Arabidopsis thaliana: one gene and its partners. The protein of the gene in region 1 interacts with the protein of each later gene in a pairwise test. Each region holds a gene or a part of one and is shown on either strand. Other genes may lie near its edges.

Evidence for each region.
Region 2: the proteins of Fes1C (region 1) and AT4G39820 interact in a two-hybrid assay, tested with the Arabidopsis thaliana proteins (one large-scale study listed by BioGRID).
Region 3: the proteins of Fes1C (region 1) and AT1G15385 interact in a two-hybrid assay, tested with the Arabidopsis thaliana proteins (one large-scale study listed by BioGRID).
Region 4: the proteins of Fes1C (region 1) and LSH4 interact in a two-hybrid assay, tested with the Arabidopsis thaliana proteins (one large-scale study listed by BioGRID).

What each region holds. Positions count from the first base shown.
Region 1 is NC_003076.8:422,328-430,930, reverse strand, and holds Fes1C (Fes1C), read left to right. Parts: upstream 1-4,552; 5' UTR 4,553-4,718; intron 4,719-4,814; exon of another isoform or gene 4,815-4,836; 5' UTR 4,837-4,862; coding exon 4,863-4,948; intron 4,949-5,141; exon of another isoform or gene 5,142-5,145; coding exon 5,146-5,288; intron 5,289-5,372; coding exon 5,373-5,423; intron 5,424-5,516; coding exon 5,517-5,738; intron 5,739-5,850; coding exon 5,851-5,953; intron 5,954-6,080; coding exon 6,081-6,450; downstream 6,451-8,603. Other genes in the region: AT5G02170 (Transmembrane amino acid transporter family protein), read right to left, coding at 459-554, 650-712, 807-850, 959-1,130, 1,224-1,359, 1,453-1,672, 1,755-1,935, 2,014-2,037 and 3 more; AT5G02160 (uncharacterized protein), read right to left, coding at 3,907-4,048, 4,292-4,539; AT5G02140 (Pathogenesis-related thaumatin superfamily protein), read right to left, coding at 6,494-6,650, 6,726-7,398, 7,493-7,547.
Region 2 is NC_003075.7:18,472,638-18,481,291, reverse strand, and holds AT4G39820 (Tetratricopeptide repeat (TPR)-like superfamily protein), read left to right. Parts: upstream 1-3,231; 5' UTR 3,232-3,310; coding exon 3,311-4,594; 3' UTR 4,595-4,595; intron 4,596-4,843; 3' UTR 4,844-5,334; downstream 5,335-8,654. Other genes in the region: AT4G39830 (Cupredoxin superfamily protein), read right to left, coding at 108-1,061, 1,158-1,352, 1,447-1,659, 1,738-1,830, 1,896-2,189; AT4G39810 (Polynucleotidyl transferase, ribonuclease H-like superfamily protein), read left to right, coding at 5,557-5,994, 6,076-6,122, 6,205-6,268, 6,373-6,498, 6,592-6,684.
Region 3 is NC_003070.9:5,289,550-5,296,948, forward strand, and holds AT1G15385 (cotton fiber protein), read right to left. Parts: upstream 3,790-7,399; 5' UTR 3,649-3,789; coding exon 3,427-3,648; 3' UTR 3,163-3,426; downstream 1-3,162. Other genes in the region: GLYI4 (Lactoylglutathione lyase / glyoxalase I family protein), read left to right, coding at 1,406-1,560, 1,666-1,771, 2,475-2,738; PDF1A (peptide deformylase 1A), read left to right, coding at 5,104-5,514, 5,595-5,684, 5,768-6,076; AT1G15400 (uncharacterized protein), read right to left, coding at 6,470-6,497, 6,857-7,275.
Region 4 is NC_003074.8:8,324,295-8,332,721, reverse strand, and holds LSH4 (LIGHT-DEPENDENT SHORT HYPOCOTYLS-like protein (DUF640)), read right to left. Parts: upstream 6,095-8,427; 5' UTR 5,765-6,094; coding exon 5,480-5,764; intron 5,015-5,479; coding exon 4,712-5,014; 3' UTR 4,165-4,711; downstream 1-4,164. UniProt on the Arabidopsis thaliana protein: Probable transcription regulator that acts as a developmental regulator by promoting cell growth in response to light. May suppress organ differentiation in the boundary region.

The DNA of each region.
Region 1 (8,603 bases):
GTCAAAGAGATTTCTTCTATATACGGAAACATATCAATGGAGAGAAAACTATTTAATGTTTCTTTAATATTTGTTTCCTTTTATTTTAATTGCGGTGTAGATTTGATGCTGACGATATTTTTAGGATTCTACGAATTTGCAATTTTTTTGATTATTGTTCTTTTCGTCTTCTCTGTTGACTAACTTCCAAAACTGTGTAAATCCATCAATGCAAGTGTTACTCCAGTCCCATTTTCCAAAATATTCTGTTATTTATTTATTTTTAAATGAGCAAATGAAAAAAAAAAATGAAGACTACATTGAGTAAAATGGACTTAAAACTATGAATAAAATACCAAAAAAAAAAATCAAATTGGATTATCTTCACACAAAAAACCATTGGTTTATCAAAAACCGGTTTTATTCAAGTATATACCGGTTTATTCCTTCGAATATACGTACTTATTCTGCAAAACCAATCAGGTCATTTCGCCGATTAATCTGGCGATAGCAGAATAAGTCCCGCAACAACCGCTTACAATGCCGATTATCACGATTAAAATACAAATTCCAATCTGAAAAATAAAAACTCTTTTCAGTCTCAATTTTCTACGAAGTATTGACAGTAAAAATATATAATCAAAATCGAAGTTTTCAATTATATTCTTACCTGAAAGTTAGTTAATCTACCCTTCATAATGCTGATATAACAGAGACACGGGAATATTAACGCCTGAAAAAGACCAAAACCGAAATCGTCAAGAACTTGTTTTGATCCTTAATTTTTCCGGCAATTATTGAGATTGATTTGTTCTTGGAGAACTTACGATAAGCATTGCGATGAAAGATCCAATCAGAGCCGCCACAGTAGCTGCAATTAACGTTGTTACATTAACGAGTTCGGTCATTGTTTTATACAAAGGGGTTTCTTGTGCAAGAAGTTAGGGTAACTAGAAATTGATAGAGAGAGATAGTTTACCGAAGAATGGAACTGTGAGTGCAACGACCAAAGTGGAGAGAACTAATATGGTTCTAAAGAGCATAGAGACACCTTTGGATCTCATCTTTCTTGATGAAGACGGTATGAGTTCTTCTAGGCTTAGCATTACTGGAGTGATCGTTAAAGCGTATTTCGTCATTGGTGTTACGACCTAATCATACAAATGAGATAGGAATTGAGAGAAAATTATTATGAACAGAATGTGAAGAAGGTCTGAGATTCTTGATTTGGAAGGTTATCTAACCGCTGTCCAGACTGCGATTTTAGATGAGGTGAAATGTGGTGGCATGTTCAGTGTAAATTGGGATTGAATCGCATCACCAAACATCGTGAATCCACAAACCGCTACCGCAATGTAAAATAGAGTGCAAAACGCAAAACTACATAACGCAACAAACAATTATTTTATGAAATGAGAAGTGATGAAAATTAGACCTAGAGGTTTCTTGCGCTATAAGCAAAAGTTGTTTTACCTGATGAGAAGCACCGTAGGAAACTTGGAAGGTTCTTTCATGGATGAGTAAATGTTGGGGAAAACAGAGTGACTCCCGAAACCGAACCCGTAAATTCCGATTGCGACAGGTATGTTAGTTATATCAAGAGCTTGTCCGCTTATGTGAAATCCAACCCCGTCTACTGATCCAGCCCAAAAGAGGCAAAGCGCAAGCAAGATTGAGGAGATGACACCTCCGGCTAAGGAAACAAAACATTTCTTAAATTTAATTAAAGAGTTCAAATCTCAGAGATTGTTGTGTGTGCCAATTACGAGATGAACCTGAGAGATAGGACAATAAGCTGAGGTCTTTGAGCCAGACAGTAGGAAGAACAATAAGAGTCGTGGTAATGGCGAAAACTTGAGTAGAATCTAAAGAAAATCCGTTGATGTATAAGGAGGTATTTGGGAACATTCTTGACAAATTATCACTCATCATGATTATGTATTCCACACAAGATGCCTACAGAAAAAAATTCAAAGTTAGGACCTCAATTTCTTCAATCATGATATGAAACATGAAAGAGAGTTTGGTACTTACGTATAACTCTACGTAGAGAAGTATCTGAAATGTAATTCCAAACCCAAGTTAAGTTAGGATCACAATTCACACACAAACAAAGTTAAGATTGATTATTTGAAAAATAATCTTACAGAGACGAGGATGCGTCCAGTGGTTCCGAATGCAGCTTGACCGATGTCCGGGTAAGTGTGGATTCCAGGGGAGTTCTCGAGACATCTCTTGAGGAGAATGCCGGTGTAGAAAGTGATAATGCCAAAGGAGAAGAGTATGAAAAGCCCTAACCATCCTCCTTCTTTAACTGCGTAAGGCATTGTAAGTAAAGCTACTCCACATAGAACGTTAATTCCTGCAAAAAGAGAATGTTAAGAATCTCAATCTAAATAGAAAAGATAATCGTAAACTCAGTACTCTCGCACTAATGCTATACTAAACGTAAACTCAGTTCATCAATATATATCAGATTTGGTTTCAGTTTGATTATTTGACTAATCTTGGAAAACAGAGAAAACCTAACCAAAACTCAGATTGAACATTCCTAATGCAATTATTACCGTTGAGAACGGATTGAGAGAATGTGCAACTGCGGTTTTCTTGGGGAGTTAAAAGATCCCCTGGGACTGATAGCTGGAGATGAGAAGCAAGAAATGATTTGATGGAGGACACAACAGAGCTTTGGATCTCGTCTTTGTCTATGAGAAGTTGCTGTTTGCTTGGTGAAGAAGTAAACGAACCGAAAACAGAGCTTTGTCGTCTCTGGCGAAATGAAGAGACAAAACTTGTACTAGTCGGAGGTGTAACTCCAGTCAACAAATCCATAGATTGTCTGAAAATATCCCCAAGAACACCAAAATTATTCTCTAAAGAATAATTTCTTCAGATCTCTTACAAAAACAGAGCACTTAAAAAGAAAATGATTTACCGATAACTTCGAGGCCACGGAACGGGAACGTCTTCGGATCTGTTACGAGATAAAGGAGTTGAGGGAACGGAGCTCTCTGTTTGGCTTTCTTCATCTTCCTCATCGAACGTGTGATACAAATCTTCCCTTTCTTGATCGAATGTCTCGTTTTGCTTCATCTACTTTGTTTGTATTCTTCTACTGTGCTCTGTTTCAAAAACCAACAAAAGGTCTAAAAAGAAGAAGAAGAAGATTGAGAAGAAGCAACTAGGGGACGCAACGAAACGTGTTCTGTTTTCAAGTTCTAAATTATTGTCACGTTTCTTTATATTCTTTAATTAGCAGTCTCCTTACCTATGATGATGTCTCCCTGAATTTGTTTTTCCCCATAATTTAAATGTATTAATGAACAAATTCACGATTTTCCCATTATTCCACCAATAAGATAAATTTAATAATGTCCCATTATCCTATCACTACTAAATCTAAGAAACTTCAAGAACAATTCAAAGAATCTTCTACTCTGACGCGTAAGGTTCATTTACAAAAAATTTAGTTTTTATACAATAATACTATTTGCTTGAAAAAATATAAAAACGTTTCTGGCGAGGTTATTTATAAAACACAGAAATAGACACGTAATGAAGATTAGTTGATATGCATGTGATGTAAGAAGCCAATGACAGTTGGGTCATTAATTGGCCATTAAATGTTCATCTCTAATTACTTATGCAGCAGTTAAATTTATTTTTTGTTCGTTTTATTTTGGTAGCTGAGCACCTTCGTCTATAACTGCTTAAAAACTTACAATAATACTCAGACAATTTCTTACAGAACAAGAAAGCAAAGAAACTTACACATAAAAAAGCAATTGTATATATATATATATATATATATATCCACCCATCTCCAAGCAACCATTGATCATTCCAAGCTATCTACTTTTGCAGAGGTATATTGTAGAGAAGAAGAGGAATGAGAAATGGAGCTTTTTACATATATATGAAGAAGACTTATGATTTATCAATCTGGTTAAGCTTTCCGAGTCCATTGCAGTTAGCACAAACGATCTGAGGAAGATCCTTCCGTGCGGCGTTGGCTCTCAGAGTCACTCCTCCTTTCCTCACAAATCCTGCTCCGTCACATTCCGGACACCTAAACCACACACATTTCAGAGCTTAAACTCACAATGTACAATCTCTGATTCAGTTTACTACATCGGCTAAGAGTTTATGTACGTTTTCAAAATCCATAACAGAGGATTTAGTCCGGTTAAGATAATTCGAATGTTGAACCGGACAATAAACTATGATAATCTGCAATTGATCAGTCAAAATTTGGTTTAACGAGCATTAAAACCGGTTTAAGTCACAAGGTAAAAAGATGAGAGTGGTTTACGTGTCTTTGCGTTTGAAGAGGATCGGGAATGCAGTTCCGACGAGTGCAACGGCGATGGCTCCGCCGATTAAGTAGATTGTTCCGTCAGAAGAGACATCACCGACGGCGGCGACAACTACGGAGGAAGAAGATCTCTTGTTTTTGGGAAGAATCACATTGTTCGGTGATGGTGATCCCCACGAAGAAGAATGTTTCAGGAAGTTGGTTGATGACACGAACGTCGTCTGCAATGCCGGTGCGATCGTCATAATTTAGGGTTTTAAGTGACTGATTTCGATTTGGGGGAAGTAATAAGAAGAAGTGATTTGATTTTTATGGAAAGGTTTTGAATTTGGATTTGCTTCGTGACGTGTCACTCTCTCGAAGTGGATAACGTTTTCACTTGGGATTTTTGGGGTTCTTCAGTTTTCTTTTGTGTGTGGATAAGGTAGGCCCCTTCAAGATATTTCGAGTTAACAATTGGGCCTGTTAAGCCCATTATTAAGTTAGCGTGAACATAAGGCCCAAACTATTTGTCATTGTCTCTGACTCTCTGACCTTCGCAGAGTCTTTCTCTTCTTCCGTTGCTTCAATGGCGAAAGACGGACCTAACTGGGACGGTCTGCTTAAGTGGAGTCTCTCTCACTCCGATGGTACTCGACCTACTTGCCAATTAAGGTACGAAGTTTCTTTGTAATTTCAGGTTTTGTTGGTCACTTAGTGGAGCTTATGTTGTTTGTTGGGTTGTTTTAGAAATTTGCGTGGTTCTGCGTCAGTTTCTTATGAGGAATGAATCATGTAGTGGAATTTGACTATTTGATTTGGTATTGTTTGGTAGATGGTTTTTGATGATATGAAATTGTTTGGTTAGACAGTGAGGAGGATCGAAAATGGTTTGCAGAAGCTATGCAATCACAAACGGTAGATGTAGTCAAGCGGTTGAAGGAGATTACACAGGTATTGCAGACACCTCAACAAGTTTTGGAGGCTCATGAAGTGACCCCTCAAGATATTGAAGGTTCAATATGGAGTTCACTATTGTTTTCTTAGCTATTTTCTCTCTTGTTGGTTACTAAGATTTTGAGTTATGATGATTTGGTAGGTTTGTTGGATGAGTTGCAGGAACATGTTGAATCGATTGATATGGCTAATGGTGAGTCTTTTCATACTTTGACCTTGTAACTTTGTTCTATATCTGTCTTTTGATTGCTGGGCTTAACTTGTACTTCTTTGAATGTATGGGCAGATCTTCATTCCGTTGGAGGCTTGGTACCTCTTCTTGGCTACCTCAAAAACTCCAATGCTAATATCCGGGCTAAGTCTGCAGATGTTGTAAGCACAATAGTTGAGAACAATCCTCGGAGTCAAGAATCAGTTATGGAAGCCAATGGTTTAGAGTCCTTGCTTTTAAGGTTTACTTCAGACACCGATATGCATTCTCGAACACAGGCTCTCGGTGCAATATCATGTAAGCTGCTCTGAGTTCTATCCTATATACTTAGATGGTCGAATGCCTTTTTCAAAAACAAAAATGTCTATCGTAAATCTGATGAATGTATTGTGGTAAATTTGGGGTACAGCTTTGATTCGCAATAATAAACCTGGGATCACAGGTTTCCGGATTGCAAATGGTTACTCTGGTTTAAAAGATGCTTTGGAAACTGATAGTGTGAGATTTCAAAGGTAATAATACTCTTCACTTTTCTTCATGCTTGGATTCCTCTGAACTTTGAGAGAACACAAAGTTGTAACCTTTGTTCTGCTGTTGTCTAACTTTCAAAACTTTTGTCATTACTTTCTCATTCTTCAGGAAAGCTTTAAACTTGTTGCATTATCTTCTACAAGAGAATGACTCAGACTCCGATATTGCTATAGAATTCGGGCTTCACCATTTGATGATGCACCTCGTGTCTAGCTTCGATGCTGATGTAAGAGAAGCTGCTCTTCGAGGATTGCTTGAGCTCGTGAAAGCTAGAAAAGACTGTAGTACTTGTGGTTCTAGCATAGTGAAAGGCGATGAGAGACTCAGACAGATTCTAAAAGATCGGATCAAAGCAATCAGCCGGGTCAAAGCAATGAGCTTGTTTATGTCACAAGAAGATCTATCAGCCGCTAAAGAGGAGAGGCAGCTCTTAGATTCACTATGGACCACAATCTTCAACGAACCTTCTTCTCTTTAGAGACAAAGATACAAAGAGACAAAACCGTCTGTGCTTCCTTATATCATGAGTAAGCACTAAAACCGTCTTTTATGTCTTTGGACCCACCAGCTAAAGCTTGTGTCTTTAGAACACTAGTTAAAAGGATGGTAACCACTGTATAATGACCAAATTTTGATTCTATTTTGAGTTCAAATTTTCTCAGTTTCTCATTCAATGACCTAAAAACAGACCGTACAAGTACCAAATCAAGCTACTGCATGATAAACATAACATAAAAATCAGAAGCCTCTCACTTTGGAGGACAGAAAGTGATAACATAACGAGAAGCTCTACACTTATTCAAACTACTAGAATCATCAAACGCATAACTATAAGCTTTAGGACAAATCGCTTTAAACAGATTCGCGAACAGAGTCGGCTTACACGCCTGAGGATTCGCATATTCACCGGTGCAACAATACTTAGCCGATTGCATCGCCAAGCAAGCACTTTTACAACCAACCACTTTCCCATCTCTCTTAACTTCCAAAGCTGATGGACAACAAATGTTCAAATTCACTTCACAAGCCGCAACGCCACATCCAACTCCACCGCCGATTGGTTTCATCGACACCGGAAGATTGAAACCGTCGACGAGACTTACGTCGTAGAAATGAAGCGGAGAGGAAGATGAGCCTAATGTCATTTCTACTACGGTTGCTGGTGGTACACCGCCGGTTCCTTGGCAGTTGATAGAGCCGTCGTTGCAGTCTCCGGTTTGGCATGAGCCTTTACCGTTTTGGTTAAAGGTGCAGCCTTGTCTACCCCAGATTCGACCGGACCATTTATCCGGTACGTCTATGATGGTTTCTTCGCCGCTTCCCATGTGGAATCCGCCGTTTCTTGGTGTGATTTGGCCTCCGCCGCCGAGAATTCCCGGCCAAATGCTCTCCTGGCAGTTATTCACTATTATAAGCTGAGCTCCATCTGCAAAAGAACAAAGTCACTATTATTGAGAGGAATCAAAACGAGAAACAAAACCCATTTCATAAATTATCGAGAAGGAGAAGAGATATCGTACCAGTGAAGGCTGAGATAGTGAGAAAGAGAAGGAATAGAGTTGCAGATTTCGTCATTGTTGTTGATGTTGTTGTTGTTGTGTGGGGATATATCACTTCTAAAGTTTGCTTTTGTGTGTGTTGTGGTTGTTTTCAAGAGAATATTAATAAAGAATATGTTGAGGACGTCGTGGTCGAAGGAAGAAGTGGAAACTTGGGTTGCAAGACTAATATTGGTGTGGTGAAGTGGATTGTTGTATAGGGAACTGCCAAGTGCTAACGTTTTATAAACTGAGACTTTCATGGGATTAGTGGGAAAGAGAAAGATATGGAGGCTTGATCGTGAGCCTTCTTCTATGAAGAATGGGTTAAAGTTGGATTTAAAGAAAAAGAGAAAGATTCATATGTCTCTCAAACGTTTATTATTGGATAAAGATTAACACTCATAGATTTCTTCATCATTGCATTTCTTTAAGGCAAATTTGTTTATACTTTACAATCCATAACTAATTTTCAGACCTAGCTAAAATCTCATTGTCTAACATTTTAATTATTCTTAGAAATTGATTTGATATTTTTGAATATAGTTTTATAATTTTTGTAATAATGTCGTAATGTTACCACCTGAATTCACTGTTTTGAGTCTATATGAAAATTGTAATAAGGAAAATGTTAGAGTGCTTCACTAGAGTTTTGAACTTTTGATTTTATATGTCAGTTTGTTTTTCTTTCAAAAATTATGTTATATGTTATCTATGCGTATATAAACTTCATCACTTGCTAGTAGCCTAGCATGTCCCAACATTTCTTACCTTTGCTATGACCTTTTTCACTTTGTACATCAAATCAGCAGAGAGCATATATGCATTACTTCAATGAGAGGATTTGCTTTGTTTTTAAACAAAGGCTATATTTACACAAAACAAATCATTCTCTTTTTAATGTTCTTATAATATTTTGTTGGTTTTTGAAAGGTAATAATAGAGATCGAAGCCAAGAATGTCACTAGAGTCTATAGACTTGCTTTTAATAACAGGTGGGGAGGTTGAAGGTTTTGGTGGGTAGGTATCTTGCAAGACATACATATAACATATTGATGAGTACTACTTGCTCAATATTACTTCAAGCTGAAGC
Region 2 (8,654 bases), on another chromosome or scaffold:
ATTACTTACATTAAATAAAACAGGTGTCTCATTGGCTAAAAAAAAAACAGGTGTCTCAATGATTAAACAATGAATATTTTCTACTCGAATTTGATTAAACAATATAATCAGCGTTTAGTCTGACCACATCCCATTATAGAAGAAGGTAAACTAGAAACCTTATCAATCCCAGACTCGAACACAATCCCCATTCCCATGAAAAAATGCGATTCAATGTGGCAGTGAAACGACCAAACGCCAGGATTATCCGCTCTAAAACGCAACGCCGTCCAGCCAAACGGTTGAACCGCAACCGTGTTTTTCTTTATCGGGTCGACCCGGTTATACCTTTTCGGATCCTCCGACTCATTAAACTTTCCTTCTCCGTACCCAAGCACCCAAAAATCATGACCGTGTAAATGCCACGGGTGCGTTTCACTGTTGTTTGCGTTCATTGTATTCGCGTTTTGTAAAATCACGTCCACGGTTGAATTGAATCTCAATCTGTAGATTCCATCGCTCGTCGTCGCGTTAGCGTTAAGGGGTTTCGCGAATATGTCGTAATTTCGAGAATCGTAGTTCTCCGGTGCCGTGAAACGCCAGTCAAACGCGTTTGTGAGGTTTTGCTTTAACGCGATTAGGTACGGCGTTTTAGGGTGGTGATAGGAAACGTTGTTGACCGACCAACGTCTGTATCCGTTGACTTCGTTTTGTGTATTCAGAAGCACAATGACTTTGTCAGAATTCTCCGGCAGCGCGTGAATGAATCCTCGACGCGCCTTGATTGCTAGGCTTTGTGCAAGACGGGAGCGCGTGTCGTTCCATTCCGGTACGATATTGGATGATTCCGACGTGGGAGGACGCCGTCGTGGGTGGTTCGGGTAGTAGTTGAGTACAGCGGTTGCCGGTGGAGTTGTCGCCGGACGGCTAACTATGCTTGAGGTGATCCAATAGTTTCGTCGAGGGTTTTGATCTGCCTTGAGAAGTACGGAATAAGTTTCGCCGGAGTATACAAAGAGATTCTTCACCGTGAATGGTTCTACGTAGTGTCCGTCTGCTTCAACAACTGTCAAATTATGTCCCTGTTGTTTAATTTAACCCATCTTCCATTAGAATACGAAAAAGAAAGAAACAGAGAAGACAATGAAAATGATTGGCTTGATTCTCAAGCTAAGTACCTCGATTTGGAAACTGAGAGCAGAGAGAGCCGTCAAGCTACCTATTCGAAGCCTGTATGTCTTTCCGGGAATCACCGTAAGAATAAAACGCGAACAATCAGCGTTTGAGACGTTACATACTCCAGACACTAAGCTTGGAGGAGTGGTTAGGTTGTTTGAGCAGTTGAATCTTCCTCTTCCTTGTATCATAAGCGACTGATAATATATCCAAATAAGAATCATCCATAAACATAAAATTTGATCGATCAAACAAGAATCTGACTTTTGAGTGATGGAAAAAAGAACTCACTTGTGGCTCACCGACCCACTTGAAGGGTATGGATGCTAAACCGGTGGCTTTCTCTGACATACTTTTGTGATACCAATCAGTTAACAAAAAGTTCCGGTCATAATCGTATGTAAACGGTTCGGGCTCTGTGGCCGGAGGAGAAACTTGAATCATTCCGATTAATCCAGACTCTCTCTGCATCCCATAGTGTGAATGATACATGTATGTACCAGGCTACAAACAAATTTCAAAACTTAACATAAAAACATAAAGAAAGATTGAAACTTTAATGTGAGTTTTATAACTCTTTACCCTATCAACGACAAATTGGTAAATGAAGACTTCTCCAGGAAGAATTGGACATTGAGTAACACCTTCTACTCCATCGAACCATGGAGTCCCAATCTGAAACATATATAAATCAATCTTTTTCAGTCATTCACCGAGTGCTTACGAGGATGTTTACGTACCTGTCGGATTCCATGCCAATGGACAGCGACATTTTCAGTCATGAAGCTATTCTTGAGCTCGACAACGATGGTGTCACCTTGTTGAGCTTTAATGGTGGGACCTGGAAACTTACCATTGATTGTGATTACTAGCTTCTCGAAACAATCCGGTGACTTGAACTCGTACTTCACTTCCCATTTGAATCTCCGGATCTTTCCCTGACAGAGGACGGAAGAAAAAAACAGGGCAATGAAACAGAGGACCATAAGATTGAAGACATGGACTGTGTCTGATGATCTCTTCGGTCTCATCATTTTTCCAATCGTGTCTCCAAGAATCAAAGAAGATAAGAAGCTGAGATTTCAATATATAGTTCGAGATTAATCAATTCATATATACATAACGATAGATCATTGCATGTCATGTGTTTACAGATAACTCATTTGTCTTTTGGAGAAAAACTGGAGAGAAAACGCGTTTCACTTTTCTACGATTTAGTGATAATTTCTAATAATAATACATCGACTTTTATTAGCAAAGTAAAATTGTAGTATATGATTCTGTGTACCTCATGTGTTTTGTAAGTCATAAAAGTCAAGTATGTTCGATGCTTCTACACTGCTTTTCCTTTTTCCGTAGTAAAACCACATTATATTTTGATGTTTGATTGTAAGATTTTTAAAGCCTAAACTATTGTTAAAACAAAATACTTAATCAAATCATTAAATGAATAATAGGTTTTACGGTTTGAACTAGCTAGTTAGTCACTCATTTCATTTTTTAAAAATCTCGAATTTAAATACCTACAATAGAAAATTGAATAATTTACATGTTCATACCCCTTATCCGAAAAAAATATGGGGTTAGGTCTGAAATTCTTTAGTTAATTAAAAAGACTTACTTATTGCAGTACATTCCACATAGACTTTTAATTTGGTCAAGTCTTAGCTCAGGGTCAATGGTAAGAATCGAGAAAAAATCTCTTGGACCAAGTCAGAGCTTAATTTTTTTTGGTCGTTATATTAAATATCTACGTAAAAATCAATGATGTAACATGTAACATGGGGAAAATAATATTATCAGTATGTAACAATATTATAACATGGTATTTATTACCATTACTCCACCATTTAAGTAACTCCTTTCGTTACACGAAGAAAAGTCATAAGACAAAAAATCAACATTGATCAATCGATCCGAGACAAGTTAATTGTAATTTTGGATTTAATTATTGTTTCATTTCTAGTGAATTAAAAAATAAAATATATGAAATCCAAAGTTTGGATTCTCCTCCAATTTTAGTATTTGATCTAATTATTTTTGATCTAATTATAAAAAAATCTTAATAAACCGCCTAAAATCATAATCATATCAAATGTTTTTTTTTAATAAAAAATAATCTAAATTTTTATGCCAAAAAGAAGAATTTAGCGTAATGGTATCTATTGGAAAGACGACCCAAATCCAAAGACCAAACCAGGTTACTTCCACAATGTTCACGGAGTCATCTCCAGCAATGGATCCGGATTTACCCGAATCCGAAACCCGACCCGAATTCAATCCCTCCTCCACTGATTCCACCGCCATGGCAGAGTCAACCGATGCAGGGGAACCGACGGCATTCGAATTAGCCTCATCCCAAGTCACATCCGTCGCCGATCTACCACCGGAACGATTCAATTCGCTCGACGAATTAACACACGATCTCGGCTCGCTCCACGAGCTTTCGACCCGTGGCTCATGGCAAGCGATCCTCGAGAAGATATCTCAAGCCAGAGCTCTCTTCCTCCTCACAAAGCCTCACGAGCATCTCACTTATCTCACTTACCAAGTTATGGCTCTCGCGAAGCTTCGTCGCTCCGATGAAGCTTCTCATGAGCTTAATTCCTTGCACGATTTCGACGGGACGCATTACAGGTACGAATCGTTCCCTGAGATTTACCCTAATCGGAGAGGATCTATGGTTCCTTTCTCTTTACGATGGCTCTACGCTTTGATCCCGACTAAGCTTGGTAATCGTCAGGAAGGGTTAGATCGTTTATATGTTTTGCTTGACTTTGTTCGAGATCGAATCAGAGAGAAAGAATCTCAGAGTTTAGAGAGTTCTGTGGAATTGTGGAAGAAAAGAGAGACATTTGTGATGAATTGCTTGCTAGGGTTTCATTTAGGTCACAAGGAATTTGGGGTGTCTTTGGATTTGATGAAGGAATTGATCAATCGTGATCCGTTAGACCCGGTTTTGATTTCGAAACTAGGGTCTGTTCAGATGCAGTTTGGTGATGTAGAAGGAGCTAAAACTACGTTTGATAGAGTTGAGAAGATGTTGAATGAAGGAAAGAGCAATGGTTTATTGAACGAGATACAGTTCAACAATCTTGTTGGTAGGAATAAGGCTTTGGTTTATGTTGTGGCAAAGGACTATGTTTCTGCTGTGAGAGAGTATGACAAATGCATTGAAAGGGATAACTCTGATATTATCGCTGTCAACAATAAGGCTCTTTGTTTGATGTACTTGAGAGATCTATCGGATGCGATTAAGGTGATGGAAAGTGCATTGGAGAGAGTGCCAACCGCGGCTTTGAACGAGAGCTTGGTGGTGAATTTGTGTAGTATGTATGAGTTGGCTTATGTTAATCATACTGATGTTAAGCGGACGTTAAACAATTGGATTGCACGTGTTGCTCCTGATGACTTTGATTCATCTTGTACCAGAGTTTGAGGTATTGTCTCTGTTCTTGTTTCATTCTTGAATTTTTCCCTTTTTTAGGTTTTGGCATGTCTAAGAACTGATTGGTGATGTTATGATGACTTCGATAAATTGTGAAGTCTTAAGAATATGAAACAATCTGGTTAGGTAGATAAGAGAGATGATATTCTCTAGCGCCCTAAACTTCTTGTTCTCTGTTTTGGTTTCATATAATTTCCATTGGAGGTATGCAAATTGATCATCTAGCATTCAAAATTGCAGGTTTTCATTCCAAACAAAGGTAATTAGTCAAAGAGTTTATGTCTTCAATGATGAAACAAATCTTGGTGGGTTTGGCCTCAGCTGGAGACTCTGTTGTTGCAATTACCGGCTTCAAATTCGTTGTAGTTTTCTGTTGTGTAAGCTAGCAAATGGTTTGTTGCCCCCAAACACTTGGTAACTTCCTGCATTCGTTTTCTCATATTCATCTTCTTATAACGTTTTTTTGCATTTGCCGTTAACCACTAATGAAGAATGTGTGTTCTTGCAACTCTTCCTATGCACAGAGATTTTGGGTAAATCAAATATTTAAAGCCATGTATTTTGAGTTGAATATTCCCGTTGAGAGGATCATATAAGGATCAATAATTTGGGATATTACCAGTTTTTGAGAGAAATTTTCCCTTTCAGCTTTCAGATTCCTTGTATATCTTTATGACAATATCAAAGGAATCAATTCTCGTAGAACATGAATCTACCAACGAATTCTTTCATATAACAACCCTTTTTTATTGGTTTGGAAAAAGCAAAGTAAAGATTCTTACTTTACCCTACAGAGCAAAATTTTCTCCGCGAAGCTAAATAATCCCCACAGTAACCCTCCAACACAAATCTACGCTTAACTTTTATCACAAGAAAACGCAAACCCCAAATCCACAATATATACACATACCTACTCACAGGATTAACAAACCGAACATAAACCAAAATCTGATATGGCGGTCCAAACATTTCCCAACGAAATCGTCTTCTTCGATCTAGAAACAAACGTACCAAACAAAGCAGGGCAACATTTTCACATACTAGAGTTTGGGGCGATCATCGTATGTCCAAAAAAACTCGAGGAGCTAGAGAGCTTCACAACGCTTATACAACCTAAAGACTTGTCGGTGGTCTCAATAAGGTCGTCTAGGTCAGATGGGATCACCAGGGCTAAGGTTACGAACGCACCAAGTTTTGAAGACGTGGCTGAGAAAATCCATGGTTTGTTGAACGGTAGGATTTGGGCAGGTCATAACATTAGAAGATTTGATTGCGTTAGGATCAAAGAAGCTTTCGCTGAGATCGGTAAAGCTGCGCCTGAACCCTCAGGGATCATTGATTCTTTGGGGTTATTAAGTGACAAGTTTGGCAAAAGAGCTGGTAACATGAAGGTACCATTATCCAAGATTCTTTGTAAGCATTAGAAATCTTAGGAATTTATATATTGAAGGTCATTGTGCACTATTTTGTAGATGGCAAGTTTGGCTGCCTATTTTGGTCTTGGAGTTCAAAAGCACAGGTACCTAATCATATATGTTTGTATCTATTACTGTTACGTTTTCCTTAAGGTGAAATAACGCACATATGTCATATAATTGCAGGAGTCTCGATGATGTTCGAATGAATTTAGAGGTCCTCAAGCATTGTGCAACAGTGCTTTTCTTGGTATGTCGTATACTCATAATTCTTTTTTTTCTTTCAAGATTTTTATTTCAAATATACAAATTAACTCATTTGTATATGTGTTTATATATCACCTAAATATACAGGAATCTACACTTCCCAATCATTTGGAAGGAAAATGGCACACTTCTTCTAAGATTATGACAAGAAGTCGAAGGAATTACCAAATAGCCCAAAGGGCAATGCCTTACTCGAAGGGTAGTCTCGAGAAGGTAATTGTGTTTTTTTCCCCTCTCTTCAAATCATAAAGAATTTAAATTGCCGTTAAATTTTGTCTTTCTTTTAAATGTTTTTGTTTAATACAGATGACACAAAATGTGAAGAATCTGTTAAGCAAAGCTCAAGGCAATCAAACTCTCCAAAGCTTGATCAATCATTCTCATTCTTTGCTTAGATGATTACTGCATCCCTCCTAAATGTTAATTTTTTTATAAATAGTTTGAAGAATGAATTTAATTGTATATAATATTTATACCTTCATTGACTCTATTACCAAATAATTCAATTGATATTGTTTATATTTTGTCACTAACAACTTTTTATCTGATTTTTACCTCAAACTTTTATGAATACATCACATTGGTATTGTTTGTCATCTTTAAATATATTTTCTTTTGTCGTATTATCTACGACTTATTAATATTTCAACGTAATAGTTTTTAATATTTTTGTCGTATTTATTCATTTCTATTTAGTTTTGGATAAGCTCTTGATCTTATTTTATAATTAAATATTTCAACGTAAAAGTTTGTCCAACTTATAATCAGTTGTTTTTAATTTAATTTTGGATAAGTTTCTGATCAAATATTTAATTCTTATTCTGTTTAAATTGGAAACAGTTTATCTGTTATTAATGTGAAACGAAACAATGGATAAACTGTTCCCAATTGACAAAAATAATTGATTACTTTATTAATGTGAAACGAAACAAAGTTTGTCAAAAACAAATATGAAACGAAACAAATAAAATATATCTACGTTATTGGGAAGAAGAAAAAAAAATATCTACATAGTTGCAATTAAATTATATATTTTAATACAACTGTTATAATTAAGACAAAATATATATGTATATATATATATTTACTGCTTAATATGTTTTGTTTGTCGTATTATCTATTATTCGTTTGTGAATTTTATTTTGGATAGTAGTCTTTTCATTTACTTAAAATTAAATAATTCGAAACAAAATAGTTGGACATAATCAAGCGTACGAGAAACTTCCAGCACATCAACATCACCCTTTATACAAAATGATTTTTGAGTGAAAAAAAATGAATGTGAAACAAAGAGAAGTATGTGGCGTGGAGGAACACAGACAAAGAGTTTACAAAGGGAAACAAATTATCAATACACAAACGTACGTATGGCCACAACCATGCCTATCAAACTTTTTCAAAGCCATTCCATTTCCAAGGTGTGTCCAAAAACCATTTTTTTTTTTTTTCATCCTCCATAATTAGTTTTTGGATTCAGTTTTTGAAACTTCTTATGTCGACTAGAGCAAGAGCACTATATTTTTATGTAGTTTTTCAAAAATTAGCATTGCTGCAATGAATAGGTGATACGAGAGCCAAGATCACACGTTTAACCTTTAACTTACAAATCATCATAATTAACAACACAAAGATAAAAAGAGAATGATATAAATTCAACAGATAATAAGAGATCTTTTTTAACATGCCACACCCAAATCTGAATATAATGCAACATCTTTAAAAGAAATTGTATTACAAATCAGTTCATATTGGTCCACTAATGAAATGATTCATTGGAAGACCGATGTCTAGAATAATTTTCAAGGCATGTGCAAAAAGTTGGATTTTCTTTCCATCTAAACCTTTCAAATGACTAATCATTATTGAAATAGAAATGAAAGAATCCCGGTTACAAAAGGAAATCAAATTACATATTTTAGGCATCATATAAACTAGTGTAACTTGGAAAAGCTATAACAAATAATTTAAATTTTTAACAAATGTTTCAATTTGTGTTAAAATATTCAAATTTGAAAGTAAAATGTAACTGATATTTTCCTTATGACACATTGCTCGACCATAATCAATTAAATAATATATTCAGAATAACGTCTTTCTAAGACATGAAAAACACGTGAAACAGAGCAGTAGAAAAAGTGTGAAGATGTTTTACAGACAATGATAATCAGTGTTCTAGACTAAATCTTTTTGTTTCATATAGATTCATAGTTATCAATGTCTGGTTATGATACATTACTCAAATGTGAAATCACAAGTATGAATTAATATTATATTTAAGGTATTTTAAATTTCTTAGATATGTGTAAAAATATATTTAAAACACAAATCTTTAAAAAAAAAAAAAACATAGGTACCTTGAAATCATCGGC
Region 3 (7,399 bases), on another chromosome or scaffold:
ATGTTTTTTTTTTTGGTTTCATTTTAAATCATAATATAAATTATCTATTTATTAACCTCCATTATGCATAACTCTAAAGATATATTAGAATTATTTTAATTAGTATTAATTAAGGTAACTACAAAATATTTGATATGTTTAGAACAAATTAATACAATGAATATTTTTAAGATGTAATTTGATGAAAATTAATAAAATATTAATATAATATTAATGAAAATTTTAAGATTAAATAATATTAAAATAGTAGTATCTTAATTAAGGAGATACTATGGATATCACACCAATAGGCATGCTCTAACATATTTTTTTCCTTTTCGGAGGATTCTTTTTATATATATATATAAACAAATAATTAAATAGCATCCCAATATATACATAAACAAAGTTTAAATCGTTTTAGCTATGCCTGATTTTTTTATAACTTTTTAAGAATTAGATAAATAATAAAGCAACATGTCTAAATACTATTCTAAAAATATATCAATTGTTAATTGGGACAGCCCAATTTGCACTGGACACGGCAACAAATGACCAAATTCTATACACAAAAACAACAAACGAGTAACGTTTAAAAATGCTGACGTGTCCCAATATGATCTTACCTTTGATATCGTTTTTAAGGAAAAGTTGTGATTGTCTGAGTCAGCTTGTATGAGTTCCTACGTGTTGAACTAATCCTGACACTACCTGAGGGAGGTAATCACAACATTTTTCATATATAACCGCCCCAATTTCACTGATTTCACCTTTTCCTTTTACCAATCACATCATCCCAATTATTTACGTACTTAGCTTGACTAGTTGTCGTTCATTACAACCATCTTAGGTTTCTTATAATCATTCCTGTTACGTAGTAAAGAACTATTTTACGTAATAGATAAGATTAGATATCAGTTGAAATTATTGACTATATAGACATCCTAATTTTATTTCCATTGTTAAATTTGTTAATATATCTAACTATCAAAACCTAAATCGACGTGTCACACTCAAACTTATAAAGACTAAACCTATTACAAGAAATAAGATCTTATAGGCCGAATTTGTTTGGTACGTTGATGATCCAAATATAAATAATAGTTTTTCTTTTTCTTTTTAATTATGAAAGGTTAAAAATTCATAAAAAAAATTACCCATATTTGCTTAAGACGCTAGCTTTTCTATAAATACAGCATAGCCATGTGTAATTGATCATCAGATAAGTTCCGTGGTTATCCCATTAACCTTCTTTCTACACAACACAAAACTATATATAAAGATCATACATGTAATAACGTCCTGCAACTATTACAATCATTCTCGCTTGAATTAACGTGGACGTCATTGTTTTTGGATTGTTAATCAAAGGCGGCGTTACTTTTTTTTAATATAATTGTTTCTTTAGGATCTTTGTCTCTGGAAAATGAAGGAAGACGCAGGAAACCCTTTGCATCTCACGTCACTGAACCATGTCTCTGTCTTGTGCCGATCCGTCGACGAATCTATGAATTTTTACCAAAAGGTGTTAGGGTTCATCCCGATACGAAGACCTGAATCCTTAAATTTTGAAGGCGCTTGGTAATTTATCATCATTTTATTTAAAATATATCTGAATTTTGAGGGACAAAAAAAGTACCAATGAGTTTAGTTTTTTTACATGTTCTTTTTTTTGGGGGGGTCTAGGTTGTTTGGTCACGGGATTGGAATACACCTCCTGTGTGCCCCAGAACCAGAGAAACTTCCCAAGAAAACTGCGATTAATCCCAAGGATAATCACATCTCTTTCCAGGTAATTTTTCGTGTGTGTTAATTCTCAGTTTTGCCCTGTTTTTTGTTTTTTTCAATAAAACTTTTGTGCTTTTTAAAGCCATAAACCATAATCTACGTTCATACAAGCTCTGTATTTAGATGTTGTCTTAGGATATTTTTCTATATTTATGAACCTTTTGTGCAAAACACAATCTCAGAATTATTTATTATTAAGGAAGAAAATCCAAAATTTGTTAGTTTCCTAAGTAAATGACCCTTAGGATAGAATTTGTTAGTATAGTTTGAATTGGCTTATGATAACTATTGAATGAAAGAAACTGAATTTATGAGAGAACAAAAATATCCTAGAGAAAATGACAAGAGATAAGTTAAGAAGGGAGAGAAAAAAAGGACAATAGAAGGTGGGGTTTTCAGAGGTCAAGTTTTGTGAGTCAGAAGTATTCATTGTTCCATTATTGACAACAAACAATTTTGTTTTATGAATCAAAACATCCTCAACTTTTATAGTTGTGTAATAGAAATGTTAGTTAGGATTATACAACAAACCACTTGGTTTTAAGCATCAAAACATCTTGTGTTTGGTATGTGTGTGAAGAATTTGTGAGACAATTAACAAGAGGAGATCCCAAGTATATAGTTGTTACTCTGTTTTTTGAGCATACATAAGATTATAGTAGAAATTTTGGTCTGAATAATAAGAGTTGTGAATTATGGAAATGCAGTGTGAGAGTATGGGAGTAGTGGAGAAGAAGCTGGAGGAAATGGGGATAGATTATGTAAGGGCATTAGTAGAAGAAGGAGGGATCCAAGTGGACCAGCTCTTCTTCCATGACCCTGATGGCTTCATGATCGAGATTTGCAACTGCGATAGCCTCCCCGTAGTCCCCCTCGTAGGAGAAATGGCTCGGTCCTGCTCAAGAGTCAAACTCCACCAGATGGTGCAGCCACAACCGCAGACTCAGATCCACCAAGTGGTCTACCCTTAATTATAAACAGCTCACTTCTTCTTTATATTGTGTGTGTTTGTGTATTGGTGTGCTTGGTTTTGGGTGTAATATACAATAAGAGACCGATGTGAATCAGCGAATGTGATTCCCTTCGAGGAAATGACCATTCTCTTTGCTCCACAAGCTTATATAATATAATCAAGGGAAATCATGTTTTACATATATGTATATTGGTTAATGTATTTGGTTCGATTTAACTCTTTTGTGCAATGCAACTAAAGAGACTAGACTATTCACTCTCTCAAGAAATGCATTCTAGACCCTCGAAGTTAACGTATATGTTACGAATCTCATATCTACATTGAACGGTCTAACAACAAAAAGGCTTGTAAAGAGATTCCAAGCTAGTTCGTAGAGGCATCCAATACATGTTTGGCTCTCGCATTCCCCTTTTGTTTAGAAGTCACAATTTCAATTGAGAAAGTCTATTGCAAAAATTTGATCCAAATAGAAAAAGTTGATACAGATTGTATTGCTAAGGCACACCTTACATTTCTTATATTGTAATATAAATACCAAGAAATAGAGTTCCACATCTAAAAGAAAGAAGATCTAAAGTAATATATGAAAGCCATAAATCATTCTTCCATACGTTGGAATCCCATGAGATATAACAGTACTATATATACAAGAAAGAAATAATACATGTGTATATTGATAAGTAGTGTTAAGGGCCTTTGGAGAGCATGTTTTCAATGGATTCAAGACGCTGGAGAAGAAGCTGATTTCTGAACTTTGTGATGAAAGCTTCTGCGCTCTTGTCCACGTCCATCGATGCCTTCCTTTCCACCTTCTTATTCATCGTCTCTTTAATAACAATATTAGTGGTACCATTACCACTTTCTTTTGCGGAACTCATCATCATCTTCATGTTCTTGTTGTTGTTCATGGTAGAGATGTGTGTGTAACAGTGCTTGTGTTTCCTTAATTGATTTTGGAGAGAGGGTGAATTGTTATATTTTGGAGATGCTCGAGACCTATGTATTTATAGGGGATTTTCATTTTTTTTTTTATTTTTTTTTAATAAAAAACTGTAGTTAGACATATAGGAAAGGAGAAGACTTATTTCTCTTTACGTAAACCATAGTTGAATGTTGAAGGAATAAAAAGAAATGGAATCTTGAATCTCAAGTTATACACGCGACTTATTAACAATAACAAAAAACGTTATATACGAGACCCATCCATAGTCAGAGAGGAATGATCTACAAAGCACCGTCTCTACTCTCTACTTTATAATTTATATATTTCTTTTTTAAGAAAAAATAAAATATACGTTAATCCTCTATTAACTATTGGAATAACATAGCATCAAATCTAAGATTCTGCTTGAAAGAAATGTAAAAGAGGTTGCCTAACTACATATTAAATTTGAATTTGTTAATTTGGAGAAACAAGGATGCAAGATTCTAGAAAGTTATATATAATTTGACCATTCGTCACTAACCAAAACAATTGGCTTTGTTGTTTTTATATACCACACGAATTACGGCTTAAGCATTGGAGATTGAACTCGTTAACTCACCGCCCACTATTCCCATTGTCGCCGCTCCGGTAACCGGTACCGCTTCTTCTTTACCAAGAAGAACAATAAAATAAAAGAGATTATGTGGCTTAAGTTAGCTTATAACCTAAGTACCTAACTCTAAACCGAACTAATTAGTTTTCGGCAGATTCGTTGAATCATGTATGATATATTGATACACATACTTTTTTTATTAAAATGTATAGAGAATATTGGTTCAAAATTCATTTGCCGTGATCGAAGAATAATGCGATTATCAAAATAAAATAAAATAAGAAGCTTCAAAGCAAACGTACATGGTAGAGTTACAATTTGATTAATTATGAACCGTTATTGGCCATAACCAAACATAAAAATTAATGATTTTGAACCCACTAGTTTAGGATGTTATTTGGTAATTCAAATTTGATTTATCTATTACAGTTTTTAAATTTATTTTTGTTATTACGTAGTTGGCCTGTGGTGGTGGATTGCTCCGGATAACATCACTAACGCATATTTATAATCACACGATTAAAGAGTGTTTTGGTAGTTAATGCATGTAATAGATTATCTTTTCTTTTTGTGCAACGGTAATAGATTACCTAAGGAATATCACAATCGTATTGGACAGATATTGGAAACTAATCAAACTCAAAATTATTATGTTTTATGACAACATTATCTCTATAGAGAATCCCTGTGTTGTCAAAAAGAAAAACAATTATGTATTAGGCCCAAGGAAGAGCAGAACTATCTCATTTCTATTGGGCTATTAAGATAATAGGCTGAAAGAGCGATTTTAGGCCCAAGGAGTCGTATTTCAAGAAATGACGACCGATGGGACTCCACCGAGACGAAGCGACGGCCATGGAAACCCTTTTCAGAGTCTCACTTCGTCTACTTCCGGTTTCCGCCGCCGTGACATGTCGCTCGATCCGATTCCCCGTTTCAAGACCCGGTTCCTCACACTTACTGAACCGTAAGCTGTATAATTTGCCTACTTCTTCTTCCTCCTCTTTGTCGACAAAAGCCGGTTGGTTATTGGGTCTTGGTGAGAAGAAAAAGAAAGTGGATTTACCGGAGATAGTGGCATCTGGTGACCCGGTTCTGCACGAGAAGGCCCGAGAAGTTGACCCGGGAGAAATCGGGTCGGAGCGTATTCAGAAGATAATTGATGATATGATTAAAGTTATGAGATTGGCTCCTGGAGTTGGCCTCGCTGCTCCTCAAATTGGTGTTCCCTTAAGGGTAAGTCTATAAATGCTTTTCCTAGTTTCACCCATTTCGAAGCAAATGATTGAATTAGTGTTTCATGGTGAATGATGCAGATTATTGTATTGGAAGATACAAAAGAGTATATAAGTTACGCACCAAAGGAAGAGATTCTTGCTCAAGAAAGACGTCATTTTGATCTCATGGTAAATAATAGAATCAGAGTGCTTAAGAGTTGTTACAATTTTCGATTAGAACAAAAATGTTGAAGTTTGGGGGTTTTGGTTAGGTGATGGTGAATCCGGTTCTCAAGGAGAGAAGCAACAAGAAAGCTCTTTTCTTTGAAGGATGCTTGAGTGTTGATGGATTCAGAGCTGCGGTGGAGAGATACCTTGAGGTGGTAGTGACGGGCTACGATCGTCAAGGAAAGAGGATTGAAGTGAATGCTTCAGGTTGGCAAGCTAGGATTTTGCAACATGAGTGTGATCATTTGGATGGTAATCTTTACGTTGATAAGATGGTACCACGCACTTTTAGGACAGTCGACAACTTGGACTTGCCTTTAGCTGAGGGCTGCCCTAAGCTCGGACCTCAATGACAGATTCTTCAACAAAAGTTGTAATCTTCTGTTTTGATTCTTTACTAAAACTCTTCTAGATTGAGCTTGACTCAAATAATTTCAAAGATGAAACTTTGTCGGAAAGAGGGTTCTTTTTTCGGGTTTGGTAATGGATTGAAAGATTTTCATTTAATAAAATATTATAACTTGAAGACAGAAGATATTAGTACAATTAAAGACAGCTATTCTACAAATGGTAATGTGATGTTATGCTTACTCCGGACAAGACACGGTGTCGTAGCCGTTTAATGCGGCGGTGAAACGGCCCTCCCCCTCGGCGGGTCCAGTAAGTATATAATTTGAGATACGAATATTAATATTAAATCAAAACATCACATCAGAGCCGTCTAATTCCAATCAAAGCAGATTGATTTATCTTTTCTTGGTCACGATCCGCCGCCTTCTCTGCCAGATTCGAAACCCTAGAGGATTAGTCAGTGAGCCATCGGAAGGGACTTGAACGTTGTTTGATTTTTCTCAAAATGTTTTATACTGAAATCACTTAATCAGATAATTCGCCAAGAAGGAAGAAGAATCACCAAATCGGAAAGTTTGATTTTGTACAGAAATGGGAAATTGTCCGAAAACAAAGAAAGACAGATAATTTACAAATAACCAGAGTCTGTTGATCAAATCGAAAAATCAAATTTAAAGTTTTTTATAACAAAGAACACACACATACAAAAAAGAAGAAGAAGAAAGATGAAAGACAGTGTATACTATTTTTTCCTCATGAATATTATTAATCCTGACGCCTACCTCGATCTACGTTTCGGCGGCCTTTTCCTCGGATTAACTTTCTTCCCCGGCGGATTCTTTCCAAACGCAGAGCAACAACCGCATGACGAAATTCTCGGAGACGGCGGGTCCACTGCCGGAGAAACTCTTCCGGTTGTTCTATGATGTCGTTGAGCTCCTCCACCGTTAGATCGACTCCTCTCTATTCCTCCTGGTGCTCCTCCACCGGTTTTAATCGGTCTAAGCTTGTCTTTCTCATCGATTGGTTTGACCTGTTCAGAGCTTTCCGACATAGGCTTAGGTTGTTCGTCGCGTTGACTTTCGTCTTTCTGCTCGTTGTTTCCCGATTTGTTGAGTTCGGCGATGAGACGATCGTCAAACACTATACCGGAAGATCCCTGACGGCGGAAAGAGATTGTTGATCTTTGAAGACCCTCCATGGATCTATCTCTCTCTCTGTTGATGAGCTAAAAGAAGGGCAAAACTAGGAAAAGTGAGTTTAGGCCTTATAAGTGATTAATCAATCATTGTGTTTCAGACTTGGTTTCCTTTTATTTCTGTCCT
Region 4 (8,427 bases), on another chromosome or scaffold:
ATATATTTTCTAGAGCTAGTTAGTTAGGTATGTAACCAATGTTACGAAAAATTAATTGAGTATACTAGTGTTAGTTAGGATGTAAAAAACGTAAGAAAAGAAAATTAATTAAGTGGATATTTTAGAAACTTATGTCATTTGCAAAAGCTATTTAATTGGATGGGTGCTATACTCTAACTAACATGTTATTTGGCAAATTGTTTTGTAAATTTTATTATCATTTTCTTGTATCAAATTGTACATATTGTGTTATTTTCGTCGTCATGCTTCTATATATGATCCAAGTATCCTCAAGTTTTCGAAAATATATATTGCAAAACACACGAATAAATTCGTATGATAATTTGTGTTTTTTTTTAAAATTAATCTTATTAGCTGGTCCGATTAACACAGATAAAAAAGAAGTGCTTTAAAGTACATTTTTTTCAAAAGGGCCACTACACTGTTTGTTCTGAATTTGGACTATTTTTCGACCAGATCATATATTAGTGACTACCAGATAAGATGTTTAGGTATTTGGCTCAAACCCAGACATCTCACACAAATATAATTTTTTTTGTTTCGAGGGTGGACCAAACATGGATTAGTTCCTTTCAACCTTTCTTCAATTCTCAATCACCACTAGAACATGGGCTCTAAATTTTCTTTGATGTTGTTTAAGAAACTTTTGTACTAAATTTTCTTTGATGTTGTTTAAGAAACTTTTGTTGTTGTTAGACTTAGATTTTCTAAGGATATTTTACTCATTCTATCTTCTCTTTTAAAATTTTATGGACCTGCCATTTCTACAAAATAGTACTAAAATTGGTATTTTTTAGTTAATTCATCAAAAATTTGTCCATAATATGTTTTGGTATATTACCACTTGTTCACTAAAATTTGTCCATCAAAGCTAAACCCCCAAGAACTAGTCCATAAATGATATGTTTGGTAGATTTTAATGGCCACCTTTTGATTGACCACAACATATTATGGACAAGTTTTTTAGACGACTACCAAAACATACCTATAATTTCAGTTTAACTTTCTCAAAGTGGTAGATCCACAAGATTTTCTTTTAAGGGTAGAATGATGAAATTTTTATTTTTGTAAATTCCATGGAGTTTCACTCATCCACCCTTCATGAACATAATGGCTATAAACTTGTATTAAGATATATGATGTTCTTCCTTCGAAATTCATATTATTTCTTCTAAACTCATGTCTTTTGTTAAATGGAATCCAAGATGAAATATATATAGTTTAATATAACATAACAATATCATCTTTAATGTCGTTGTTGTTAGAGTTTGAATAGCCTTCAAAAAAATTCTGTGAACAGTATGTTATATACCAATTTAATTTCAAGTTGTGTTACATAGACTCACCACTACAAGTCATGGGTCCTTTCTAAATTTATGTCATTTAGTGTATACTGTAAACTAAAAAGTTCATATACTTAATCCATTTAAAATTATGGTCGTTTAGTGCAGTTCTGTTATTTTTGTAACTCACTAATTACTTTGTTTTAGTCGACCTCAAAACAAAACAATAGTTATTTGATTCGGCAATTGTGTTAAACAAATGGGTTAAAGCCTGTAAATAAATGGGCTCTCACATCTTGAGCTAGGTACAGGTATGGCAGAGATCGGACTGAAGATCTAACGGAGGAGAAAAAAATGTTTTTTAGGCACAACTAGTTTTGTTTGTGGTAAAAAAATTGCTAACTACTTAGAAGAACTGTTGCGAAAGATACTCAGCTACCTCACCATTTTTCTAAGATTAATACTTTACTGTATAATTACCTTAATTATAGTAGTATTTTATTAATTAATTGTATAATTTCTTAAATCTCTTTTTAATTTTGAAGGAAAAAGTAATCTTTTTAAACTTAAGTCAGAATAAGTAAATGATATAATAATTTCTGTTTTTATATAATAAAATACAGATTGTTTCTTTATAATTATCCATTTTACATTTTTTAAATTGTTTTACGTATGATATATAAGTATAGTTTCCTTGTAAATATTTGTTTACATTTTTAAATTGTTTAAAATTATAAATTTTTATAATTATGTTTTATATTTTTAAAATTAATAGAAAGATATTTTGGTTTATCAATGTCAAAATTATATGAGATCACTAAAGTTGACATGTGACACAATCTTATAAATTACTAAACTTTAAAAACCAAGCTTTATATAATAAAAAATTTATTGACTTGATAAAAAGAAGGAAGATTGTTGCCTAATTCTTTATCTCATATAGCTTTAGAGGTAAACAGGTTAATCACTTTGATTTCCTCTAAACAACAACTTCAGCTCAATATCACCTTTTAATCTTGCTTAAAACCTTACTGTCAAATATTCTTTTGATTTTTCGACTAACTTGATATATTGATGCTATCTAATTACTAACTTAAGCGTCAAATGTACACGATCAATAGTCAGAGCCGGTCGTATGCAACATTTACGATGATGAATAATGAAACAAAACACATACGAGTTCACATGGAAATTATAGTACTAAGGCAACAATTTGATTTGACCAAAAAAAAAAGACAACAATTTGACAACTTTCAGAACCAAACTCCTACTTATGTCGATAAACAACAATTGTTAACCAATAATGATCATTTAACGAATGTTGGAACCAACACTTAAAAGGGAAACGTTACATAGGTGCACTGCAGATTGGTTGGTGGACCAAAGCGGGTCAGACCGCATCACACGCTCTCACCGTCTCATTTGTCATTTCATGTCAGCTTTGCTCAAACGATAAATGGAAAAAAAAAAATAGTAACTAGATAACATAAATGTTGCTTAGGACCGGCCCTGACTTATGATCGTGTACATTTGACGCTTAAGTTAGTAATTAGATAACATCAATGTATCAAATTAGTCGAAAAATCAAAAGAGAATTTGACATTAAGGTTTTAAGCAAGATTAAAAGGTAATATTGAGTTCAAGTTGTTGTTTAGAGTAAATCAAAGTGATTGACCTGTTTTACCTTTTAAGATATATGAGATCAAGAATTTACCGGAGCAATAATACATATATTTTTATAAACAAAGAAAGAAAAGACTTTTTGGTAACAAGGACAAGAAACTGAATGATTTGCCAATTCCCTACCAAATTAAGACGCTACAAAGGAAGGCGTACACAGAGAGCATGAAAAGACACGAACAACCATTTGATTCTGCAAATCTTCTTTTGTCATGTCTTATCGAACTACAATAATATTCAATGTAACCCGCGGTATACCGCGGAACAATTTATTTTTTTAAGTTAATATATATAAAAATTTGCAAATTGTTTATATTTATAAAATATTTTTATTTTATAGTTTACAATTGTTATTAAGTAACGTCCTGCCAAACCCGTCCCGCAAAAAAAAAACTCATTTATTTTGTTAATGTTGATCTTATTTATGATATGTTTATAAATCATTCTCTAAATATTTTAATCGATGTGGGACGTTGAACTCACACATTTTTCGCCAATTGTTTAATATATGTTCATTTTTTAAATTTCGAATCACAAAATATGACTGAAAAAAATTTGAGATTTTTTGAAACTCTATATATTATATAATGATGTTAAGATTTTTTGATATATTAAACTTTTTATAAGTTTAAATATTAGTAATATTTTAAAAAGTTTAAAATATAAATAATAATATTTAAAAAATTAATAGTTTTTGTCTTTTAGGTAATGACATAATAAATCTAAAAGCAAGGATTTAGAAAATTTAAATCTTTAATTAAATATTTTCATTCCTATATAATTAATGCCAGTAGCATGAAATTGTAAATAAGTTCAAATACAGAATTTATTTATTTAAACAAAAAACGTTTAGTAAGAATAATATTTATTTAAACAAAAACTTTGTTTTAAAATATTGTTAACAAATACGTTTATGCTAATTTTAAAGGATTGATCTTAAGTTTGTTTGGATTAAATTTGCTTGATAATGTAATTGACAATTTAAATTAAGAATTTAAAGTAAAATGAATTATTTTGGAATTTTTTTTAATGCTAATGGTATGGAGTTGTAAATAAGTTCAACTTTACGATTTATTTGCTAAAATGGCTGGTAATTATGAAGAATTTACATCATAATCTTAAGTAGTATAAGACAACAAAAAAAAAAAAAAACTAAATACTATATTACAACTAATTCACATTCGGTCTTGCATTGGGATCCGTAAATAGCAAAGAAAAACCCTAAATTTAGTATCCTACAAAACATTAGTACTTGTTTAACTTGATCAATATATAGAGATAGAGGTTCTTTGAAATAATTGGATAAATGATTCAAGAATGTATTAAATATAAACTCTTGAATCACTTAGAGAAAACGTAATATTATATAATGTTTTATAAATACATGCGATAAATGAACCAACATAATCATAAGTTTGCCATCTTTCAATTTTGCAAATAAATAACAAAGCCATTAGTTTAGTGCTTTTACTAGTCTATAAGATAAAACTTATGACTTGTCTAACATGTTACATGTATATATTAAAAATATATACTAATCTATACTTATGTGAGGCCAAACAGAAAGAACTACAAATTTATTTAATACAACATAAGAATTCTTTAGGTTTGCCAAATAAAAGTTTAGGAAAGGGCATGTGACTTTAAAAGAACTCGTGCATGTTCGTCATTGATAAAAATTTGTAAACAAACGTAGTTCATTGAAACATCTTACTCATGACTTAATGTTAATTAGGGCTACTTGAAATCGCCGGCTGAGCCGGTGGTAGTGGCGGAGGAGGTCGCTTGCGCTTCTTTTTTTCATAGCTGATCCCACGTGCTTTAGCCTGCGAGTCACGTACTTCCCTTAGGTAGAGTCGAACGGCTCGTGCACCAAAAGGGTTCGTCTCTGGTGAACCACCGTTCTCTTCAAAAGCAGCTCTAAGACGGCCAATGAGTGCGTCCAGACTACCCCACGCTTGTCGGAGTGGACAGGCACATGGTGCTGGTGGGTTTGGGTGTCCGAAGAACGGACATAGGTGTGTGTGAACCTAGAGATACAAAGATCAAAGTGGCGTTTTAACTTCAGCATTTTCAATCTATATAGATATTATGTGCTTGTAATGTATGAAAAACATTTTTGAGTATATACAACAATAGTATATCATCATCACAGTAAGAATCATAGACAATATATTTTATTTATTTGCTAATAACGATGGAGTTAACTTTTTAAATAAACAAAATTCAGAATCATGTTGCAATACTATTTGTCGGTGATAGATGAAAATATATGAAAGATATAGAGCCCAAGTGAGATTATATTAATTAATGAAGATCAATAAGAATCCAATTCTCAACTATATATAACAAAAATACGTTTTAGCCTTTAGGTCAAAGAACCAAATTAGACATAGGGTTTCAATTCATTTGGTTCTATATCAATGGAAAATTATCAAAAAGAGTATTTTGATGTAAGAGATAGATAGACACATATGTAAGTGTATATGTTATACCTTAGTCTTGCCGAATTGGTCGAGGTACCTGAGGAATTCAAGAACATGAGCACCACTGCAACGGGAGAGAGAAAGTGGTGGACGGTGATTGCGTAGATACTGTCCGAAAGTGTTCCAATCTCTTCTCTTCTGATTCTCGTACCTGCTTAGCTGGTTAGTCCCCGAGCCTCCGGAGGACGAAGAGGAAGACGAAGAGGTCGTAGTGGTAGTGGCTGCGGCAGCGATCATAAGGTTTGTGTTATGTGACATGTTTGTTGTGCCCATAAAGCCGATGATATGATCCATAATATCAAGATCTGATTATCTAAGGATTTTTTGTTTGGTTTTTCGGTTATGGTGAAGATGAGAGGAGGCTTGTGAGTCTAAAGTTGATAAGAGAAGATGATGGAGAGGAAAAAAGAAGATGAGAGGCTATCGTAGTCATTGCTATAAAAGAGTGAATTGAATGGAGTCATATAAATATTCTTTTTTTGCTTTTCATTTATGTTTTCGCTTGACTAATAACAGTGGAACAAATAATAATGCAAGCTTGTTTTTACTATAGTCTATAGAGATTGAGTTAAACACTAAGCTAAATACTAAGGTTACGTATATCTCTTAAAATCATTATTGTTGTGTGTAAGACTTTGAATAGGTTTTTGGCGGATGAAGATTAAGGGGTATTTATTAATATTATGGGCGAATGAGGTTATTTGTTTATTTATACTTCTTATTTTGTTGACCGAAAACAGTTAAAATGTTATATGGTAACAAATATATATAAGATATAAAATCTTATTAATTAGTATAATTACTTTAGTTGTTAAAAATGTTTATTTGCATAGTGGCAAATCAATGATCTTTGACCTAAGTTTAGATGGAAATTATTCACCACTCATAGATTTTTTTTTAAATGAATCACCACTCCTAGATTACCTTTCTTTGGTTATTATCACTTAACACACTACAAAATTTGCAATGGACTTATTCTCATAACTTTTCTAGTCAACAGTCAACACCGCTTTCTTTAAAACAAATTTTGATTCCGCCATTTCCTTGATATTTTGGACCGGAGAAGAAGGAACCGACCTAGTTACATGGGTAGGAGCCATGGCCCTATTCTCTTACGTTTACGTAATCGATTTACAATCATTTTCTTTGAAATATGTTTTACAATTTCTTTTGCTTGAAACTACTATAGGATAAAACGGAAGACTTTTTATGTATGACCCTTAAAAACATATATTTGGAACTCATAAAAAGCTAGACTAACTTAAGCTGACGACTCATTTCCACACTCCTATAAAAATCTAGACAAATACAGTAATTTATCGTTAAATGAGAAAGATGGAAACAAATCTAGTGAGTGATCAACAATATAACTAAATTAGAGGAGAGACTAGTACAGTAGGGTTGGGCAGAGAGAATATAGTGACGATGGCTTTGGTTCTTGGTGTGAGTGGACAACACCTGGAGTGAAAAGACGATATTACCCCTGAAAGAAGTTAGCGGCAAGGGGTAACTTGTGGCAGAGGTACAAAACTGCATGGGGACAGAGAGGGAAAAGATGACCAGTGGAGTGTGTTTTTGAATGGTTACTTAATAAAGAAGGAGAAATGTTGAGTCAATCAATCAAATCTAACTGTTCCATTTCATGTCGTTGTGGACCATGTGAATTTTTTTCACTTGGTTTTCGTTTTTTGTTTTTTGTTTTTTGGACTTTTCGCTCTTATACAAAAACAAAATAGGCGTATAATTTCTCTTAAAATTGTGTTTATTTAGCAACAGAATAATTTTTTACAAAATAGATGTTTTTTTTTCCATCAGATCTTATTTATATATATTTTTAATGTTATTTGAAAAAAGAAAAATATAGCATATATATATATATTGACATTTAAATGTAGGCTATGTAGCATGAATATATATTTTAAAAGTATATATATATGTATATATTTTAAAATTATTGTTTTCTATACCTAAGTGTATGGAACAGTGGAAGTCTGGTAGATTGTACAAACCACCTTTTCAATTGACTTTTATAAAACCCATCGATTGTTATATATTCGATACAAATTGTAACAAAAAATCAAACCCAAATTTCAAATGGTTTGCTTCTTTTATATAATTATTGAGATTATAAAGTTAAGATCATTAGATTTTCCTTAACAAAAAAAAAAGATCACTTAATTGAATGGAAATCCGTTTATCGATCTCTCACATATGAGGGTTATTACTTATTAGTTATTAGACTTGTATTCTATAGTCTATACTTTGTTTGTTGTGTGTTTAATACTTGTAGTCTATAGTATTTGCCATTAATAGCAATGACATGAAGCTTCTCTTTATGCTACATTTGGTGGTGGGGATATCTTTATCTTATACTTGTAGCCTACTAATTTATTCAAATTTCCAAACAAAAGGAGTAATATATCCATTGAATTTGTAATCCTCTACATACATTTTTTTTTCCTTTTAAAAAGTTTAACATATATTAATAAGATACTATTTTGGTTTTAAAACATGCCATTACAACTATAAATCAAATAATCAATACTGCCAAATTTTTAATTAAAATGAAAAAAAAAAAGAATAGATATGACACAGAACTTTGTTTTATCCTCAAAATTTACATATGTAACGAAATATAACCAAAAAAATCCATCTTTATTTCTATTTATATTTGTGGAAATAATTGCTTATTGTGGAGTGTGGACTGGAGCAAGGAGGCATGGTAAAAGAAGAAGCCAGAAGCCTACGATAATTGAGTAATTAACGGAAAAGTTTATCAGAACACAAACAGTTTATTAACCCATTCAACTTTTTCCGTACAATGATTAAATATGCTGTTCTTACTTTTGGGAACAAATCCACGATTCATTACAAAATATATTATCAATTCAAATATAAATAAGCATATTGTATACAGAATATATTACCACACTTTACATTGATACATTCTTCCTTTT